Linked DNA regions of Canis lupus familiaris. The protein of the gene in region 3 interacts with the protein of the main gene of each other region in a biochemical or structural test. Links are inferred from orthologs where the notes say so. Each region holds a gene or a part of one and is shown on either strand. Other genes may lie near its edges.

What was found.
Region 1: the proteins of BCAR1 (region 3) and PTPN12 form a complex in vitro, tested with the Homo sapiens proteins (3 studies listed by BioGRID and IntAct, with this or other methods). The link is inferred for Canis lupus familiaris from reciprocal best matches to the Homo sapiens genes BCAR1 and PTPN12.
Region 2: the proteins of BCAR1 (region 3) and CRKL interact in a test that uses a peptide from one of them, tested with the Homo sapiens proteins (2 studies listed by BioGRID, with this or other methods). The link is inferred for Canis lupus familiaris from reciprocal best matches to the Homo sapiens genes BCAR1 and CRKL.
Region 4: the proteins of BCAR1 (region 3) and PTPN1 form a complex in vitro, tested with the Homo sapiens proteins (3 studies listed by BioGRID and IntAct, with this or other methods). The link is inferred for Canis lupus familiaris from reciprocal best matches to the Homo sapiens genes BCAR1 and PTPN1.
Region 5: the proteins of BCAR1 (region 3) and CRK form a complex in vitro, tested with the Homo sapiens proteins (2 studies listed by BioGRID, with this or other methods). The link is inferred for Canis lupus familiaris from reciprocal best matches to the Homo sapiens genes BCAR1 and CRK.

What each region holds. Positions count from the first base shown.
Region 1 is NC_049239.1:17,885,063-17,889,400, forward strand, and holds the start of PTPN12 (tyrosine-protein phosphatase non-receptor type 12), read left to right. Parts: upstream 1-1,373; 5' UTR 1,374-1,433; coding exon 1,434-1,532; intron 1,533-2,426; exon of another isoform or gene 2,427-2,475; coding exon of another isoform or gene 2,476-2,511; intron 2,512-4,338. UniProt on the Homo sapiens protein: Dephosphorylates a range of proteins, and thereby regulates cellular signaling cascades. Dephosphorylates cellular tyrosine kinases, such as ERBB2 and PTK2B/PYK2, and thereby regulates signaling via ERBB2 and PTK2B/PYK2.
Region 2 is NC_049247.1:30,746,921-30,751,116, reverse strand, and holds the start of CRKL (crk-like protein), read left to right. Parts: upstream 1-1,282; 5' UTR 1,283-1,815; coding exon 1,816-2,126; intron 2,127-4,196. UniProt on the Homo sapiens protein: May mediate the transduction of intracellular signals.
Region 3 is NC_049226.1:76,051,538-76,055,755, forward strand, and holds the start of BCAR1 (breast cancer anti-estrogen resistance protein 1), read left to right. Parts: upstream 1-1,361; 5' UTR 1,362-1,416; coding exon 1,417-1,650; intron 1,651-4,218. UniProt on the Homo sapiens protein: Docking protein which plays a central coordinating role for tyrosine kinase-based signaling related to cell adhesion. Implicated in induction of cell migration and cell branching. Involved in the BCAR3-mediated inhibition of TGFB signaling.
Region 4 is NC_049245.1:37,605,338-37,609,010, forward strand, and holds part of PTPN1 (tyrosine-protein phosphatase non-receptor type 1), read left to right. Parts: intron 1-5; coding exon 6-96; intron 97-3,136; coding exon 3,137-3,237; intron 3,238-3,673. UniProt on the Homo sapiens protein: Tyrosine-protein phosphatase which acts as a regulator of endoplasmic reticulum unfolded protein response. Mediates dephosphorylation of EIF2AK3/PERK; inactivating the protein kinase activity of EIF2AK3/PERK.
Region 5 is NC_049230.1:45,570,762-45,575,056, reverse strand, and holds the start of CRK (adapter molecule crk), read left to right. Parts: upstream 1-1,419; 5' UTR 1,420-1,526; coding exon 1,527-1,767; intron 1,768-4,295. UniProt on the Homo sapiens protein: Involved in cell branching and adhesion mediated by BCAR1-CRK-RAPGEF1 signaling and activation of RAP1.

The DNA.
Region 1 (4,338 bases), on a different chromosome or scaffold from region 3:
TGCCCAAGCTTATCTGATAAATTTCTTGGGTGTGGGTAGGAGGGATCCAGAGAAGTCCAGGGATCCAATCATTCTGTCCTGCCACGTTACCACTACGTTCCTTAGTGAGGGGCAATCCATCTAAGGGCTGTACTGAAAGCAGGAAGGTCTGAGTTCTAGTGTTGGCTCTGCTAAGGGTACGCTGGGGGCAGGGGTGGGCCCAGGCAAACCACTTTCTTCGCAAAAATGGTGAATTAGATTAGGACAGATTCTCTCTAATTGCCAGAAGACTTGCAAAGACGCACACAAATTCATCAAGTCCATTCTATGGAGAAAAAAGCCTGTTAATCATTTCTGTCCGGAGGGCTGCGAATCTGAGCTCCAAAGCACAAAGTGCGTCTCATTCAGCCAACACAGGCGTGGCAGGTGTTCGGGTGCGCTCCGGGTCTCAGGGCTCACCCGCCAGGGCTGAATCTGCAGACGGATCTGCAGAAGGCCTTTCATTCAAGGAATATTTGGCTTGTCCCGGCCGCAGCCACTGCCCGAGGCGGCAAGGTCAGGCGCCGTCAGCATCCCGGGCCCGCAGCGGGACCCAGACCCACCCGCCCCGACGCGGGGGGACGCGACTACGGTTCCCGGCATGCCTCTGCGTCCCGCCCCCCCCCCCCCCCGACTCCCGCGGGCCGGGCCTTGTGGCCGCAGGGCGGCGCGGAAACACTCGCAAAGTGCGCCTTTCCCACCAGCGGGCCGTGAGCCCGCAAGTTCCAGCGGAAGTCTTCCTGGACCGACCAGGGTTTCCTGGGCTCGGAGGCGCACCCCGTCCTGCGGGACGCCCCACCCCCGGGCGCTCCAGGCGGCCCCGGCCGGACCACGCCCCGGAAGTGGCTCCCGCGGCCCCGCAGGCCGCCGCGGGCCTCGCAGCCACTGCGAGAGGGTCTGGGCGCGGCGGGGCGGGCCCGGGGGCGGGGCCCGCGGGCGGGGGCGGGGCCTGGCCGGGCGTCTCGGCGCCTGGGGCGGGGCCACGGCTCGGGGGCGCGCGTCTGGGTGGCGGCGGGGCCGCGCCCGTGGGGAGAGGCGGCGGCGGCGGCGGCGGCGGCGGCGGCGGGCAGTGGGGAGGGGGTGGGGAGGAGGGACCGGGCCGGGGGGCAGGGCCAGGGAGAGCCGAGCTCCTGAGGCGGCGGCGGCGTCTCCAACGGGGGAGGAGGAGGGCGGGGACGAGGATGGAGCGGGCGGGGGGTTGGGGCTGGCGCTAGCCGCAGCGGCTCGCCTCGGACCGGGGGAGCGCGGCGGCTGCTCCTCGAGTTGCGGCGTCGGGCGCCGGGCCGGTGGTGCCGCCGCTGCCGCCGCCCCGGGCGGTGGGGGGAGCGGGGCGCGGGAGGCCGGGCGGCGCGCTGGGGAAGGCTGAGCGGGCGCTGCGCCGGGCGGGCGGGCGGCGGCGGCGGGCGCGCGGGAGGATGGAGCAAGTGGAGATCCTGAGGCGGTTCATCCAGAGGGTCCAGGCCATGAAGAGCCCGGACCACAACGGGGAGGACAACTTCGCCCGGGACTTCATGGTGAGTCGCGCCCCGCGCCGCCCGTTCCCGCCGGCGCTTTGTGCGCGGCCGTGAGCTGAGCAGCGGGGCGGACGGCCCGGGCCGCCTCCTCCGCCGCCGCCGCCGCCGCCGCCGCCGCCCTCGGCCTCCCTCCGCCGCCGCCCGGCCGAGCCCGCCCCGCGCGCCGCCGCCCGCGACCACCTATTGTCTGCGGGCCGGGAGCGTGCAGCCTGCCCCGCCCGGCGGGGTCTCCCGGGGGGTCTCCCCGCGGGGTCTGCGCGCGGGGTCGGGGCGAGGTGACCCGGGGAGCGCGGCGGGGCGGAGGGACGGGGGCGCCAGGTCAGCCCCGGCCCGGGGCCGCCCTGCCCCGCCGGCCGCGGAGGTGGGCACGGGGCGCTTGGCCGCCGCGACCCCCGAGGACCCCCGAGGACCCCCGAGGACCCCCGAGGCTGGGCCGGGGTCGGCCGCGGGCCCCGACACCCAGGTTTGCGGTGGCGCCGGGGTCCCCGCGACGTTAGGTCGGAGGGCCCGGGTGTGCGCGGCGCTGCGGCTCCCGCTCCCGCTCCCGCAGGAAGCCCCCGCCGACCCCTGGGGGTGTCGTCGGAGGCGGAGGGGATGTGACCATCACTTCCTATCCGGGGTGGGGGCGGGGAACTCGGGAACAATAGTCCTGGTGGGGCGGAGGCTCCGAAGCGGCCGGAGCGCTGCACCGGGAGATAACCTTCCCTGCCCCCCCTTCCGCCCTCGGCTCGGCGCACGGGCTGCGGGAGGTGCGAGGTCCTGCTCCCGAAGTCGCCCGAGGCACAGCCCCTAGGAGGGGGTCAGGGCCAGAGGCGTGGGACCAGAAGTCCGCTTCCTACATCGCCCCCCCTCCCCTCCACCTTTTATTTTTCTGCTGGACAATGTTCCCTTTAGGGTTGTTTCTCGGCTCAGGAGGCGGTGGTTGCGGCGGCTGCTCCTACGGATGTTGCGCAAGACCGGGGCGTTGGAAACTCTGGAGGTCTGGGGAATGGAAAAGGAAGTGGGACTTGGGGAAGTGGCTGCTCCTTGGCCGCGGCGGGGTTCGGGAATGGGAAATAGGCTCGGGAGAGGTTGGTCCCGGGCAAGGTACCCCCCGCAGAATGATCCCTTAACCCCGGAATTCTCCATTGTGAAAAGGACACACGGCTAAGTCCATAAAAATGAATGGGCAGCACACATTGTCTAGGGTTTTTGTTTGTTTGTTTGTTTCAAAGTGCAGTTTGATTGTTTACAAGGTGCCGCTGAAATGACTTTTAGCCCTGAAAATGCTTTTTCACATTTTAAAGAGACTCGGTTATCTACAGTTTTAGGCATTAAAATTGCTAACAGCTTGTACAATAGATCGTTGACCTTATACAGCAGTGTAATAGTATTGTTGAGCTTCGTGATTCCCGCCTTCCTAGACCGGTGAAAGAGGATGGGAGTGAGATTTTGTTAGTATCTTTCGAAGATGGAAAAATGTAGGTAAAATAATCTGTGTCCTGTTTTGGACATTTTCTGTGGATATTTAGCCTATGTGTTTTTGATCCGAGGAAAATAAAGAGGGTATTTTCTCTTCTTACTAGTGAGAATTGGGTCGTGCCACTCAGAAGTAATTGGAGGGAGTCCCCTTTTTCCTTTTTTTGGCCAATAGAAAATATTTACTTTTAGGGCATTTTAGAAGTTTAAAACCAGGCTTTTGCAGTCTTATTTTCGTTATGGAAGAAGAGGTGGTGTGGTCCTTGGTCACTGTGAGTTTGCATGCTAGTCATCTTGTTATCCCTGGGCATATCCTGTCAGGAAAGAGCATTGTTTGGTGATGAAGGCCGTCAGGACAGGTGCCCAGTCTCTGAACTTATGTGCAGGGGAAGTAGCCTTGGGGTTCGTGCTTTGCGGATGAGTCAGGGATCCTATTGGAGATTTCATTTCTGAAGGACTGAGTTTCTTTTATCTTCCATAATACCTAGGGATAGATAGGTGATTCTACGCTGGAGATTTGATGACTAAGGCTATTCTTTTATAGGGCTTGCTTTTTTTATTCCATGACTTGATAAGCAATAGCTATAATTAAGCCTGCTAGATAGATGGTGCTGCTTTTTCCCTTGACTGGAAGGCTAGAGGGAGACCATGTCCCCTGTGCCGTGGAGAGAGAATAGAAGATAAGCTAATAATTTCAAGTGTTCTGTTACTCTTAAATTCTTATGTGGATCAAAAATGCATTATTAAATTGTAGCATTTTAGAACTGAGCCTTAGAAATAATCTATTATAATACTATTCAGTTATAAAGTACTAGTTTTTTTAATTTCAAATTTGGAGATTATAGAATAATAATTAATAATGCCTTACTCTTAGGAATGTGGGGTGGATTATGTTCTTCCCTTTGTTGTATCCAGCCTTCCTAGTCCTGTCACCCAAAGGCCGTCTCTGTTAATGTTCTTAATGCATCTGTTTGACGGTGCTGTTTATTTCATTTTATATTGTTGGTTTTTTTTCCCAACTTATCATTTTGATAAGTACTTTTCATTTGTAAAAATCCAGTAGCTATTTAATATTTCAGTGGCTATATGATATTTTACTTGGCAACTATTTTATAGCTTAACCATTTCCTTGTGATTGAATATTTGGCCATTTATTTTCTATTATGAACATTTATGGGTAAAACTTCCTTATTTTGGATTGTTGCATAAGATATCTTCCAGTAGTGGAAGTACTAGGTAAAAGGATATTTATTTATTTATTTATTTATTTATTTATTTATGAGTTTACGAGTTTATTAATTTATTCATGGGAGATACAGAGACAGAGGCAGAGGGAGAAGCAGGCTCC
Region 2 (4,196 bases), on a different chromosome or scaffold from region 3:
CCCAAGGTCACCCTAGCTAGTCAACTGGGAGCAGAATTTGAGTCCAGTCAGTTTCAACCTGAGAATAATACATGACAATATTGGGGTGGAGGGGATTGAAAACCTGCTTATGCTGAGTCACAAAAGGCACTAACCCTTGACATTTCCCCTTTAGCTTACCCTAAGCTGGATATCACCCATCACCCTAGAATTAGGTGTATGTTCAACCTGAGGGCTGCAAGCGCCGAAATGAAACTCCACTGACAAAGGGATCTGTATAGGTTTGTTATAGCCGGCGTCTCCCTTTCTTTACAGGCTTTCTCGTTTGTCCAGTTCTAGGGGTGGTGCTACCAATAATCGGGCACCAATAGCCTGAGGATTTTTTTTTTTTTTTCAAAAGTCAATTCATTCAACAAATATTTGAGCATCAGGTCAGGTCCAGACCTTGTGCTAGGCCCAGAAGCGAGCAAGACAGACAAGATCCCTGATCTCTTAAAATTTCATCGCGGGGAGGGGAGGCAGGGTGGAGAAACAGGCCACCACGACCGGCCGAAGCAGGTCAGCCAGGGGGCGGGCATGCGAGGAGATTAGCTCGAGAAGCTGCAGAACTGGAGCCGGACGAGATCTTCGGGCCACACCCGGGGGAGTCCGCATTTCATCAGTTAAACGCTAATGATGGCCAGATTGCACCAAAAGGTGGACTTCCTCGGGCCACTCAATCCTGTCGCTCCGACCTTCGCAACCCCTTTTTGCGGCTGTCGAGTTTCCCGGCCACTCTGGGTCCCTGAGCCTATCAGGCCACCTCGGCTTTGGTCACGTCAGCCCCCGCGGTCGCGTCCTTCCAGAGCCACCTCGACCCACCGAGGCGTGTCCGCCCGCGGGTCTCCCTCAGCGCGGGTCCCCCGGGGCCCCTGGGCCAGCCAGGTCACCTCAGTGCCACGCCTCCACGGCCAGAGGTTCTGCATGCACGTTCTGCTTTGTTCGCGGAGCAGGTTTTCGAAACGCCGCTCCCTCTCGACTCCAGCTGTTTTCCAGCCGGAGCTGGGGGGGAGCCCGCAGCGGCAGCGCCCCCGGCGGCGCACCGCAGCCCAGGAAGGGAGTGGCCGTTACCGCCACCTCCTCCTCCGCCGCCTCTACCTCCTCGCCTCCCCCGCTTCCCCGGCCGCCTCCGCCTCCTCCCGGAACGCGGGAGCGGCGGAGCGCGGCGCACGCCCCGACCGTCACGACCGCGCTCCTGATTGGCCGCGCCGCGCGACGTCACGGGGCGGGCCTGGGCGGCAGCTGAGAGCCAGAGCTCGCGCGTGCGCAGACCGAGCGCGCTGAGCGGAGGGGGAGGTGGCCGGCCGCTTGTCCCGCGTCCGCCATTTTGTTGCTGTGGCTCTTGGGAACGGGCTGGGCGAAACCGCCCCGGAGGCGCGACGCTCCTGGGAGTCCGGTGCTTCGCGTGGCGGCGGGTATCAGTGCAGAGCCGTGGGGGGCGCGGAGTCGCGCGTTCCGGGCCAGGAGTGGCTGGAGGCACCCCCGGTACGCCGGGCAGCCCCAGAACCCCGGGGCGGCCTCCGCTGCGGCTCAGCTTCGCCCGCCCCGACCTCGGGCTGTGCCCTGCATTCCCCGGGCCGGCTCCGTCCGTGAGGCGGCCCCGGAGCAGGCGGGCGGCGGCAGAGGATGCTGCGGGCCCGGAGCCGAGACGAAGGTGCTGGCTCGGCCCTCTAAGCGCGCCTCGAGGTGTGCCAAGAGGCCCTTCCTTGGCCGCAGAGCCGTCTGTCGGGCGAAGGCGTCCAGAACAGCCGAGAGCAGCCGCCGCCCCGAGTCGCCGCAGAGCCCCGGCCAGACACCATGTCCTCCGCCAGGTTCGACTCCTCAGACCGCTCCGCCTGGTACATGGGGCCGGTGTCTCGCCAGGAGGCGCAGACCCGGCTGCAGGGCCAGCGCCACGGAATGTTCCTAGTTCGCGATTCCTCCACCTGCCCTGGGGATTATGTGCTGTCGGTGTCCGAGAACTCGCGGGTCTCCCACTACATCATCAACTCGCTGCCCAACCGCCGTTTTAAGATCGGGGACCAGGAGTTTGACCACTTGCCGGCCCTGCTGGAGTTCTACAAGATCCACTACCTGGACACCACCACCCTAATCGAGCCCGCGCCCAGGTACGCGAGCGCCCGCACTCCCCGCGCGCACAGCCCCCCTCGGACCGCGGCGGAGGGTCGAGAACAGCAGGGGCTGGTTCGCGGGGGATCGACCGCCGGGTAGGGGGTGGGGGGAGCGGGATTGAACTCCTTTCACCCCATTCTGAACCAAATTGTTTTCCAGAAGGCATTCTGATCGGAAGGCTAGTGCCAGGGTCTGGGTTGTTGGATGAGGGGATGGGTTTTAAACCTGTGTAACGGCGGTTGCCTGGTTAAAATGCCCGCTTTGTGCCGTTCGTCACATTATCTATTGGGTTATCCTAATCGAGACGTTTTTGTTGTTTTTAAGCCTTTTTTGTTTTGTTTTGTTTTTTTTTTTGAGAATCTCAGGGCAGCTGTGGCGTTCTCCCTCCGTAAAAATGCACGTACACACAACTTTGCACACCGTTCAAGGTTCTTGGGCTCCCTGCTCCAGTTTAAGAACTCTTGGACTGCAGCCTTTGGAATAATCGACAAATGAAAATGCTTGAGCGTTTAGGAACAAAACCTTTCACAGTGAAGTGGCGGAACTATGTAGGATACCTTGGTGCTAAATTTGAATTACCTAGACACCTTTTGTTTTATAACTAACACATTTTATTTTATTTTATTAAAGATTTTATTTACTTATTCATGAGAGACACAGAAAGAGAGAGGCAGAGACACAGGCAGAGGGAGAAGCAGGCTCCATGCAAGGAGCCTAATGTGGGACTCAAACCCGGGAACCCGGGATCACACCCTCAGCCAAAGGCAGGCGCTCAAGCGCTGAGCCACTCAGGCATCCCAACTAACAGAAATTTTAAGAAGATGATGCATTGGCTTTAGCGAGGACGCATTTTTTTTTTTTAATTTTTATTTATTTATGATAGTCACAGAGAGAGAGAGAGGCAGAGACATAGGCAGAGGTAGAAGCAGGCTCCATGCAGCGGGAGCCCGACGTGGGATTCGATCCCGGGTCTCCAGGATCACGCCCTGGGCCAAAGGCAGGTGCCAAACCGCTGCGCCACCCAGGGATCCCCGAGGACGCATTTTTTGAGTTTTTATTTTATAGTTTATCCCCAGGGTGGACCATTAATAGGCCAGAAATGTATTTGATTATATTCTAAAGAAGAATGAAGCTAGGATGTAAATTACTAAGGAAATTTTTGAGCGATACTTTAATTCTGTCCTAGTTTAATTTTAGGTATACCTTTTGTACATTTGTAAGTTTAATAATTTAAAGCAAGCAGCATTCTCTTTTCTAAGTAAATGCATTATTTTATTTGATTACTTGCTTTAATTTGTCTTTAGTATTTTTTCACGTTTCTTTTATTTAAATTATGTCAAATTTGAACTGAAGAAATTGCTTGGAATTTTTTTTTAAATAAAAAGTATTTTGCTGTCCATTTTGGTTCTTGAACTTATGTTTAAAAGGAATAGGCTGCCGGGATCCCTGGGTGGCGCAGCGGTTTGGCGCCTGCCTTTGGCCCAGGGCGCGATCCTGGAGACCCGGGATCGAATCCCACATCGGGCTCCTGGTGCGTGGAGCCTGCTTCTCCCTCTGCCTGTGTCTCTGCCTCTCTCTCTTTCTCTCTGTGTGACTATCATAAATAAATAAAAATTTAAAAAAAAAATTTTTTTTTAAAAAAGGAATAGGCTGCCGATATAGATTTTTTTTTTTTTTTTGGAATGACCTGTTTCTGATTTTATAGATTTGCTGATAAGATGTTGCACTGAGCTTTAACCATTAAAAGCTATAATAATTAAGGAGCACCCACTGGATGCCTAAGTGTTGCTTCTGTGGAGTAAGAGAGAAGAAACAAAGCCATGACAGTATAATGACTATAAGATTAACTGCTGAACTAAATGGACTTTAAAAACTGGGAGAAAGTGATTATAAATCAAATAGTGTTATAACAAAGGCCTAAGCACCAAGAATCTGATTGGTGAAATCTCCAGGTCCCCAAAGATGCTGGTAATTGGAGTTGACGTGGAGCATGGTATATTCTGATATAAGAGGTTGGAGAGAGTATTAGAACCAACTAAAATGAGATTTTTAATATGTTCAAGTGA
Region 3 (4,218 bases):
GTTCAATTGGGTGGAGCAGGTGGGAGATGGTGAGCCCTTGACTACGGGGTATACCGGAGCCTCAGGCACATCTGGTGGAACGGGATAAGCCCTGTGGCTCTGTGCCTCTTGAATTAGGGGACCCGTTGGGAGTTCTCCGTCTCCCTGCCTTGAGTCTTCCTTTCCTGGGGCTCTTACAGGGTAGGCCTGACAGAGAGGGTGAGGTGGACATTATTAGTTTTCTGCCAGCTGGGGTATGCCCCTTCCCTGGTACTTCTAGATTCAGATCGGAGTCGGGTGGCCCGACGGAGACTTGCGTAACGCCGGGGTCTGGTGGGTGGTGAAGGCAGAAGTCGGCTGACTTGAGGCTAGCTTTTGGGGTGCTAAATGGGGGAGGTTATCCCCACAGTCTTCCCAGAGGAGGGGGCCTTGGCTTAGTCCTTGAGGAGGGACACGTTCCTGCCCTGGATGGCGGGCGGAGAATGTGCATTTGGAGAAAAGGTGACATCCCCGTGCTAGCCTCGAAGGAGCGGGTGCGGGTGCGGGTGCGGGGCGTTGGGAGCGGTCCCGTTGGGTGGCGCGCGCCCGCGTCCCCGGAGCCGACCGGCGGCTCATTTGCATGGGGAGCCGCGGTGGCCAATGGGCGCGCGCGGCCGGGCATGCTGGGAGCCGGGCTGGGAGCAGGGCTGGGAGCCGGCTGGGGCGGCGGGGCGGGCGGCGGGGCGGAGGGGCGGGGCGGGGCGGGGCGAGCCCAGGGGCGGGGCGAGGGGGCCGCGCTTCTCCGGGCGGCGGCGGCGGCGGCAAGCGTGGTGACCGGACCGTCCGACCAGCCCGGGGCCGCCCCGCAGCCGCCGCCGCAGCCGCCCGCGGCCTTCCCGGGCGCCCGCAGCTCGGTGTGCGCCCCTGCGGGAGGCGGGGCCCGGCCGCCGGACACGATGAACTACCTGGTGAGTGCGGCCGACGCGGCCGGGGCCGCAGCGGAGTCCGCGCGCCGCCGACCGGCCCCCCGGCGCCCGCCCTGCCTGCGCCCGGGGCGGTCCCCAGCGAGGAGTCCAGTGAGTGGCATTTCCTGCCGGACCTGCGGGTCCTGGGAACCGCTGGCCGCTGCGGCCTCGGCGGGGCCGGCCAGGCGGGGCTCCGAGGCCCTGGAGCCCTCTCCCGCGTGGCGGGGCGCCCGGAGGCAGGGCTGCGAGGATCCCGGGGCCGTGCGCCCACGGGGCGGTGGGGAGGGCGGGACTCGGGGCCGCTGGCCGGCAGGAGAGTTCCTGGATCCGGGAAAGTTGCTGGCGGGCGTCCCGCTCTCCCCCTGCCGGCCACCGCCTGCCGGGTGACCTTGGGCCTGCGACACCCGCCTCCCGCCTCAGTTTCCTCGGCCACGGGGACAGGTCCGAGATTTCCTTGGACCACGAACTTCCAGGAGGCGTGGATTTCCAGGAAATGGGGTGGCGGTCCATCCCTGTCCGTCGGTGTGTTCTGGAGTGGGGAGCTGCCCCCTCCCCGCCCCCAGGCCCGCGGTTGAGCGAGCAAGTGTGTGGTGACCGAGGAGGTGTTGGTGCTGGCCGACAGCCAGTCCTGGGTCTGTTAATGATTCACCCTCCGGCCTGTCCCTGCCGGATTCCAGGCCTGGGGGCAGGCACTTCACCTTCACCTACCGTGGTTGCAAATACTGAGGTAGGAGCGGGATCCTGGCGGCGGGTGTGCAGTGTGGCATGGTGACCCCGGGGCCCAGCGTCGGAGGGCCCGGTGCATGGAGCTGGAGGGGAAGCGAGGCTGCCATTTGGGTGTCCCCCAGAGCTCCCAGCCCCTCGCTGCTGCCTGAGGCACAGCCCAGAGCAGTACTGAAGGAGTTGGAGAAGTTGAGGTTTGCTGAGGGCTGGGATGCTTGTGGTCCGTGGAAGTTAGTGCCCGGGGAGATTTTGGGGTCTTGGATCCCAGACTGGGGGTAGCGGCTCATTGGTCAGTCTTGAGGACATGGAGTTTCTTTTTTCCTTACCCCTACCATGAGGGTCTAGGCTGGGAGGCACTATTCTGGTTTGCTGTGACTTCTCTGCAGATTTCAGCCAGGCTGGGACATGTTCCTCATCCTTCTGGGCCCGGAGACCCATCCTCCTGTGTCCATTTCCTTTCCCAGGTGGAGAGCTGACGATGTGGGGTTCTGGGGTGGCAGGGATGATGGGCTTAGAAGAACAGGTGTGTGCTGGGTGCTGGGAGTTGCTGCTGGCATGCCGTCCTGGCAGCAGCACCCACTACCCGCTCGCTCTGGGCAAGGAAGGAACTCTGTGGGAACTGGTGGAGGCCGGGCAGCCCCAGGTTCTGCTGGGACAGTTACCCTTGGTTCTAGGAGGGGAGCTGGAGCCTCTGGCCATTACAGTTTGTGCTGAGCCAGAGTGCGAGTGCTGTGGGCTGCTAGGACCGTTTCCTTGGGCCTAAACAGGGGATTGAAGCAAGGTCAGCGCCACTAGGGCATCCCTAGTGGGAAAAGCCCAAGACAGCTGCTCTCCTTGTTATACAGATGGGGAGACTGACTGAGGCACAGATTGGATTTAGAACTTGGTCTCCCGGGGATCCCTGGGTGGCGCAGCGGTTTGGCGCCTGCCTTTGGCCCAGGGCGCGATCCTGGAGACCCGGGATCGAATCCCACGTCGGGCTCCCGGTGCATGGAGCCTGTTTCTCCCTCTGCCTGTGTCTCTGCCTCTCTCTCTCTGTGACTATCATAAATAAATAAAAATTAAAAAAAAAAAAAAGAACTTGGTCTCCCGGTATGGCCCCATGCTCTGCCTCACATGTGCTCTACCGCCCCCTCCCTTGGATTGGGGGTGCTCTGGTCCTTAGGGTGCTGCCATGCTCTACTGGCCACCATCTTGGTGGGGTCCTTCTGGCATCCGTTGTCTAGGTGTTCCTACCACCCTTTTCTCTTGGGCCTGAAAACTCCCTCCCCTACCTCCCAGGAGCCCACAGCCAGTGGGAGCAGCCAGAAACAGAGGCCAGGTGTGCTCCCCAGGAGGCTTCTAGAGGGGTGAGGGACAGTGTTGGAGTCATACTTGGAGAACAAGGTGCAGGGTCAGGGGAATAGGGATTGTTCTCCAGCAAAGACACAGGCCAAGATCCTCTTTCTCTGGGCCCTCCAAATAAGGGGCTGAAGGGTGGACTCCCTTCAAGGGAGGGTATGGGGCTGGGCCCTCTAGCGCTGGAGAGGCCCTGGCTCTGCTATCTTGCTGCCCTGATTCCCTTCCACTTCTAAGGGGTGAAGTTCTGGCCTGGAGTGGAAGGAGTTCAAACAGTGGAGGGGCAGGGCCCCATTGCAGACCCTCATCTCCACAGTGCATCCCAGAAATCAGGGGTTTGATACTTTTATCTGAGCGAGAACCCCACTATTGTGCCTTTTGTCCCCCTCCATTCCTGCTCAGGTGGATGGTGCTGCTATAAGGGTTACCGCAAGTTATCATTTAGGACTAGAGAGTAGCAGAACTGCAGGGGGCTTTGAACATCGAGTTGGAGAAAATGGGGTCTTAGGAGTGAGATCCCTCCTGTCCCCCCTTGAGCCATTCCTCCCGCCTCTTTCCCTCCATGATGACATATCTGGGGCTGGGTTACCCCTGAAGTGTTACCCTGAAGTCTCATGATGTTGAGCCCCCTCCAAAAGACCACCCAGCCCACTCAAGAATCCTGAGTCCTCCCCACAAGGCCCCAGGGACAGAGAAGGAGAGTAATGAGTAATCAAGTGCAGGTCTGGGTTCTAACAGCCTGGGGCAGTTCCCTGGGCTGGGTGGCAATGGTGAGAGTTCTAGAGGGTTGCTTGTTCTCACCAGCTGTGGGGTGCTAGGGGCCCATGTCTGCCCAGTCTCCCAGGGACAGTGTCTGGGATGCCCTGGCAAGGGTGGGAGCAAGGTCTTGCTTCTGACTCAAAGCTGGCCCGGGACACAGAAGCAACTGCTGTGGCCGCTGCAAACGAGACTACGCCACAGCTCCTGTTTGTGTGAGGGAGCTGCTGGCAGTGGCCATTACAGACGTGGGTTTTTAGTCCTTCATTCAACAGACCTGCCGCTTAGGTGATGAGTGTTAGACAGGGCCGAAGACCTGCGCACAGTCCCAGCCATGTCCGCTGAGCCTCCAGCACTTCTGAGATGGGTAGGGCAGGAGCTATGCTCCCCCTGGGACAGCTCTGGAATAGGGGCTTGCCCATGGTTTTGCTCTTTGGACTTGAGCCCAGACCCTGGCTACTAATTGTTCCTGGGGGTG
Region 4 (3,673 bases), on a different chromosome or scaffold from region 3:
GGTAGGACATCCGACATGAAGCCAGTGACTTTCCGTGTAGAGTGGCCAAGCTCCCTAAGAACAAAAACCGAAACAGGTACAGAGATGTCAGTCCCTGTAAGTATTCACATCACCGTTACCAGTCTCACTGTTTCTGTCGGGTGCTCAGCCGCAGCCTTCTCCGCCAGCACCCCTTGAGCCCGTGGGCTTTACTAATAAATCGATAGCAGTACAGGTTTATGACTTGGTGGTTTCCTATAATAAAGGCATCAGAGACGGAGAGGAATGGTTCGTTTTTTCCATGATTGTAGAAGGAATGAGGTTTCAGTTTCTGGAAAATTCAGCTAAGTTCAAAGCACTTTTTTTAGTTTTGACTATTTTTATGATGAATCATTTTCCTACCAGCTGAAGCAGAGTATAGTAGGCATAATATAACCTTTTCTGGATGACTCAGCAACAGTATTATTAGACCCTGAGCATCGTATTGAACTGTAATGATGCCCTGCACAGCCATTAAAGAGTAGGAGTGGTGTCCCCCCACACACACACACTAAAGACAGCTCTGCTTGTTCCACCCCCACCCACCCTACCCTCCACTGCCATCCTCATTCTTCTAGCTGTTTCTTGCCGTTATCTTTCACTGTGCCTTCTGGCCTCTGACCGCCTCCTCTGCCTTTTGAGTAATTGGCTCTGAATCTGCTGAAATCTCAAAAGTCAAGAACTAAACATGTTAGAATTTATGTAAAGCAAGAAAAACTGGAGCCAAGTAAAGAGCATGAACTTTGCCATCTCCTCTAGGCCATGGAGAACCGAGGCCACGGAGGACCTTTTAAATCCCCTCCCAGGGGGCAGCCCGGGTGGCTCAGCGGTTTAATGCTGCCTTCAGCCCAGGGCGTGATCCTGGAGACCTGGGATTGAATCCCACGTCAGGCTTTCTGCATGGAGCCTGCTTCTTCCTCTGCCTGTGTCTCTGCCTCTCTCTCTCTCTCTGTGTCCATGAATAAATAAATAAAATCTTTTAAAAAAATAAAAATCACCTCCCAGGATGTTAGACCCTGTCCATCAGAGAGGACTGTAGCTGCCAGCATCTCCCGTGGCAGTGCCTTCCATCTGCCAGGAACATAGAAGTCTCCATCAGTTCTCCCTTGCGCAGGCCCTTCCTGCATGCCTAAGTCACACCACTCCTGCGGGTGCTAGCATTTGGTGCTGTCCGCAGGAGAGTCGCCATGCAGATCTCAGGATTGTGTGAAGATGAAATAAAATAACATAAGCCACTTAGCTTAGTATCTTGCTCATAAATATTCACTGTGGTTGAGATTAACCAACAGTGGCTGTTAACTAAAGGCGTACACCAGACACATCTGAAGTGTAGTGCTAGGCCATCAAGTGGCACATTATTGCACCCCAGCACACTTGATTTAGCATGTCTAGGTTGTGGCACCTGGTAGGTTTTATCAATAAAACAAAGCTTTCCTCAGGTGATTCTGTTGTGAGGTCCTGGCCAGCTACTCTGAGCTTCAATGAACAGTCACTGTTGGCATCTTTCATGCAGAGCCAGGAGAGACCCCCTTGCCATCCTTCCTCTGCACTAGTCAGTAATGTCTTAATACATCCTTTTCTACAGTTTTCATCAGTGCTCATCTAAATGTTTTTATGAGCCAGTTTTCCAGAGGAAATAAAGCATTTAAAATACTCTTCCAGGAAACAGTTCCCAAACTTTTTCACCCCTAATCTCACTTCTGTTTCTCTTGTTTTCCCCCAACTCCACTGTCCAGCAACAGAGAATTTGCTCTTAGGGTCACAGGGAACATGGGGAGAATGATTGAAGGTAGAAAGTGATTTTGTTGTCTGTCTTCCATTTGGCAAATGAGAAGCCCAGGGCTCAGAATTGCTTGTCCAAGGTCACCCATCTTGAACCCTGTTCAGGTGCTGTTTGAACCCATTCATGTAACCCATCAACGGGTTATATGGTCTCATCATCTTTTTTGAGATCTTTAATGTCTACTACTTAAATATTACCCAAGTATTTGAATTTGTATTAATCCTCTGAGATGAGAAACATTATTCCAAATGGTGACGAATTTTTAAAAACATTTCCTTGGAATCCTTTAGAACAAAAGGCCCCAAACCATGTGTCCCCCTTAACTTCTTTCCCATTGGGCTCAAGAAGAGAAGATAGTATTTATGAATGGTCACCTGGGTTCATCATTCCTTGCATTGTACCAGAAATAAAAATACCCACCTGTTCTTGTTTGCTACATGAGCAGAGTAAGGAAAGTGGCCCCCAGGGAACCACTGCTTTTGTGACCAAGTCATGGTGAAAAGAAAAAAAAAAAGTGGCTATGCTTTTCAGTAACCTGGTGCAGACCTTCCAAATGAGAGTTATATTTTTAAAACTTCTGAAAGTTACGTTTAGTGTACTTCCAGTATTTTGGATTCAGAGTTAATTTTTTCCAGTTAAGTATCTTTTAAATGTCTTATATCATGACAGTTTCTGAATTCGAAATATTAGAATTCAATTCTAGTTGAATTTAATTCATAGAATCATTTAAGTGTTTTACACTCAAAACTTAAAAAGAAACCAAAAAACTGACATAAAGGAATTCAAGGTATCCCTTTCCACACCACTATCTACTTAGGTCATTTCATCATCAAATCATTAGACATAGGTTAGATGGAGAGATGATCATAAATCCTACCAATGGTGGTTCGTTGTACCAACTAGAGCTTTAAGGACTGGGTGAAATTTTTGGTGTATTTTCCCCCCCTTTTAAAGATTGAAGCCACTGTATTTTTTTACTATATGAAAGTATATACTAGGTATCTGAAAACAGATCCCTTGACAACCCCTCCTCACAGCCTCCTGAGTTATGGGGCAGTGATAAGTGTGGCACCTAAAAACAGCTTATCCAGTTAGGAAAGAACCCATGTTTTAGTGTAATTTGTCTCTGTTGCTCTTTAGCAAAAGTTTCAAACACTTCCAGAAACTTTTCTGAAAATACTAAGTCATCCTTATATTGATGACTAATCTCAATTAAACATGTAAACGCCCTTAATGCCACCGACTCACCTTTTTTGCTTTCCCCATGGGGTGCACTGCCTGTGTGGACACTTTGGTCATCCAGGACTAACCTCCGAGTTCTGACTTGCCTTTCAGTTGACCATAGTCGGATTAAACTACATCAAGAAGATAATGACTACATCAACGCCAGTTTGATAAAGATGGAAGAAGCCCAAAGGAGTTACATTCTTACCCAGGTAAATGAATTGTCCAAAATTTTTTTAGTGGCTTTTTGCCCTTACTTGATGTCAACTTAAGAATTTTAGAGTGCTGTCATCTATACTTCAAATAAAACCTGCTACATCTTTTAGAAGGTCAGGTTTTCCACAATCCAAAAGAACAACGAGGAAGGAAAAATCTTCCTTCAGAGATTCAGTTTGGTTGTAACATGCGTCTTTTCTGGTAAGTATACTGCTGCTGGGCTTACAGAAAACAGCATGAAATGTGCCAGAATTGCCTGTGGTCCACTGACAGAGGCAGCAGAGCTGTGGCAAGAGAAGGGCCCGTTCCTGTGTTGGTTTCCTAACTCAACTTCAGAGTATCGAGTGCTGCTCACAGAAATCAAAGAGGGTTAGCGGTAGACCCGTAATCTTTGTCCGGGTGTCCACTTAGAATTCCTCAGCTTGGTCCTCA
Region 5 (4,295 bases), on a different chromosome or scaffold from region 3:
GCCTGCTTCTCCCTCTGCCTGTGTCTCTGCCTCTGTCTGTGTGTCTCTCATGAATAAATAAATAAATAAATCTTAAAAAAAAAAGAAAAAAAAGAGAAGACATTTGAGATTCAGATCCAGAAAGGAGTGAAAGGGTATTCCAGAAAAAAGAAACACAAGGTTCATGTAGGAGCTGTTAAGAGGACACTGTGACCTCATTTTATGCTGTGACCTAAACTGGGAATTTTAAGTTCTGGAGACTGTTGTTTGTTTGTTTTTTTAAGATTTTATTTATTTATTTATTCATGAGAGACACAGAGAGAGGCAGAGATGTAGGCAGAGGGAGAAGGAGGCTCCCTGCAAGGAGCCTGATGTGGGATGCGATCCCACATCCCAGAATCACCCCCTGAGCCAGAGGCAGATGCTCAACCACTGAGCCACTCAGGCGTCCCAGTTCTGGAGACTGTTAAAAGTTGTGCACAGGGTAGGAACAGTCTTAGAGTTGTAATTTAGAAAGCACACACTGTCAGATGTGTGCAATGTACTTAGAGCAGCAAGTCTATAGGGCACCAGTGAACAGGCTGTTCACAGGAATACAGATACAGATATGGAATACAGAGACAGAGATCATGATAGTAAGGAGAATAGAGGATACCCCTGGCCACGACTAGTGTTTAGAAGAATCTGGGCAAATGACTTGAAAGACTCAATCCAGAGAACTCCTGGCTTGGCACATTCTGCTCTCTCTGTCTTGCATGCTCTTCCCCTACTGGCCATTCAACATTCAGCTCAAGCCACCTCCTCTGGTAGGTGGAGGACTGAATCCCTTTACAGACTGGGCTGGAGCTCCTGGTTGGTTCCCTCTCACAGTGCTTGGAATTCCTTTGTCATTGTTCCTGCTTCCTCCCACTGGTCTGTGAATTCTGTGAGGTCAGGGCCCAAACCTTGATCACCTTTGCACCCACAGAGCAAATGTGGTGTCAGTAACTGCTGAGTCAATCAGTGCAAACAAAATACTTAAGCCAGTCTAGAGAGAAGATGGAGGAACCACCAGAAAAGGACCAAAGTCTCCAGGAGCTCAGGCCCTGAGGCCACATACATCTTTTGTAGTCCAACTGTGTCTCGGAGTTGCTGCCTAGAATTCCCGGGCCTTCCAGGAACTCGAACCCTGGAGCCGCGTGGCCAAAACCGCAAACACAAACCTCCGCCGACTCCTCGCTGAGCCCCTACCACCGGCCCTGGACTTGGCCCCTCCATCCCCTGCAGTCCCGATCCCCGCCAGGCGGCGACGCACACGGCGGCGCATGCGCAGTGCGCACCCGAGCTGTCCTTTGCCCTTCTCCCCATGGCGGGTTGCGGTCCCCTTCCCGGCATCCTCGCGGGGGCAAGGTGCGCGTCATTTCCGGTGGGGAAGGCCCGCGGCCGCCGCCGCCATTTCGGGCACTGCTGTGAAGCTGAGACCCGAGCCGGTCCGCTGGGCGGCGGGCGCCGGGGCAGGAGGGGCGCGCGTGCCGGCGGCGGCCCAGCGTGTAGGCGCGGAGGCGGCCATGGCGGGCAACTTCGACTCGGAGGAGCGGAGTAGCTGGTACTGGGGGCGGTTGAGCCGGCAGGAGGCGGTGGCGCTGTTGCAGGGCCAGCGGCACGGGGTGTTTCTGGTGCGGGACTCGAGCACCAGCCCCGGGGACTATGTGCTCAGCGTCTCGGAGAACTCGCGCGTCTCCCACTACATCATCAACAGCAGCGGCCCGCGCCCGTCTGTGCCACCGTCGCCCGCCCAGCCTCCGCCCGGTGAGGACGGACGGGACGGGACGGGAGGCCCCGGGCGGGGTGAGGGCCGCGGAACTCGCCAGCCTGACCGGCTGCCCCTCGCGAGCTAGCCTCCACGAGGGACGTGGGCAGAGGGCTGGAGCGACCCTGGCATGGGGGTACCTTGGTGCCCGGGCTCGTTCCCACCACTGGCGGTTGTGTGTGTGTGGAGGAGGAGCCGCTGACCCAGGCCTCTGGGTGTGACTTGGGAGGACAGCCCAGGGGAAGGGGAACTGCTTCGGCCCCAGGGTGGGGCTAGCGCCGGGGCCAGGCACTAGGGCAGGGCGGGCAACGTGGGGACAAAGAGCGGAGGGGGATATTGGCACTGCGGGGGCATCACTTGGCAGCGGTTCCCAGGATGAATTCGATAATCCTACAAGTGGCTTTTTAGGCTTGAAACATTTCCTGTACTGTTAGAGAGCCGGGTTTGGTTTGGAGAGCTATTCTCCCCTGCTGGCCTTTGATAGGAAGTCACCACATACTAGCCCGGAGGGATGGAGACACCCTCAGGAAACCGGTCAGCTTTTTCCTTTCTTGGGCATCTTTCCAAAATACTTTTACTGTCCTCTTCCCCCGCGGAGGACGAAGGTGGTGAGCTAAGTGCCTTGGTGACAGAAGTAAGCCCTCTGTGATCAGCCCAGAACAAGTTGATGTCCAGCTGACCGTGTCCAAGAGATCTTGGCGTCCAGAGACTCTTTTCCACAATTAGAGGGTTCTAGTTTTCAGGGTATTTTGTGGAGGACAGATTCTATGCCCCCACACCCCTCCCAGGAAATAAGCCAGTGGAAACAGTCCCTTCCTTGGAAGTGAATGGAACTTCCAATTTCATTGGACTTAAGCATTGTCAATGTCATATGTCAGGGCCTCTTGCTCAGTAAGTTGGGGCTGTGGCCCTTTTCTTTCTTAACCAAGGATCACTGAGATGTGACTGTCCTACTTACGCCTTTAGAGCTGTTTGGAGAATGTTAAGGAGGTTCATGCACTTAGTACTTGAGATTTGTGAAATACAGAGTAATTCTGAGGTTATTGTCAGATTACCATCATCTGTGTAACAGCACCAAGAGTTGTAGTCTTTCTCATTTTTCAAATTGAAGCAGTTTTCTTCTGACCAGCTGAGGCTAGCTCCAGGCCAGTCTCATAAGAATTAGGAGCCTCCTGAGCCAGCCTTTGCAAACTTGCCCTTTAGGGATAGTCCTAATTTAGATTCATTCACTCTGGCCAGAAATAGGGAGATGGGATAGTCAGTCTCTGTTGCTAACACGTATCAATTATAGGAAGAGTATGAGATCTTTAAATCCAGGAAGTATCCTAGGTCTTCTCAGTCTGCTTGGTTTAATTTTTATTTTAAGATTTTATTTATCTATCTATCATCTGTCTATCTATCTATCTATCTATCTATGAAAGACACAGGCAGAGGGAGAAGCAGACTTCTCGCTGGGAGCCCGATGCAGGACTCAATCCCCAGACCCAGGATCATGCCCTGAGGTGAAGGCAGTCACTCAACCGCTAAGCCACCCAGGCACGTCCCAGTCTGTTTGGTTTAATAGCATAACATGAGACAGGAATATTGATAGAACATAAATTTGCCCTAAACCCGATATGTTGTGCTTTTCCTTTTTTTTTTTTTTTTTTTTTAATTTTTATTTATTTATGATAGTCACAGAGAGAGAGAGAGAGAGAGGCAGAGACATAGGCAGAGGGAGAAGCAGGCTCCATGCACCGGGAGCCCGATGTGGGATTCGATCCCGGGTCTCCAGGATCGCGCCCTGGGCCAAAGGCAGGCGCCAAACCGCTGCGCCACCCAGGGATCCCTATGTTGTGCTTTTTCACCACCTTCTTGGTATCTAGGGTTGTGCATTACAGTGCAGTAATATGTCAAACTGTCACTGAAATTCAATTTTCAACCTCCTGCACCCCCAGTTTTCAACCTTTTATGTATGCGTTTTGCAAAATTTGGAGATGACAACAGGCAGGTTTGCTGGTTTGAGCTTTCTACACACCTTTGTGTTATGACTTTATATCTCTGCGCTTACCTTGATATTGAGCTCCACCTTTTCATAACAGATAGGAGTTCAAATCCTTGGCTCAAGAGAGAAGGTGAAGATTGCCAGAGTTTGTGGATGGGGTGTGGAAAGTTCACAGGCATTGTGTTAATTCTTGTTTCTGGTAATGTGCCCAGTTTTTCACATAGAGCAATTGATTGAGTTGCTGTCTTTATAAAGGTTACTTAGTCTTTGTTCTCCTTGCTTCCCCGTCAAGCTCTTTTCTTTTTGAAACTATACAGAGGAATTTCTTTAATTTTAGAAAAGCGTGTAGAGTATTAATAGCTAACATTTATTGACTGGTTATTCTGTGCCAAGTACTTTGCTGAGTACTTTCTGTGCCTTGTCTCATTTTCTGTCTATAACAATCTGGTGAGAAATACTGTAATCTCTATTTACTAAAATATTTTCATTTTATAGGTGAGGAAACAGAGAGATTCAGGAACTTGCCCAAGGTCACACAGCTGA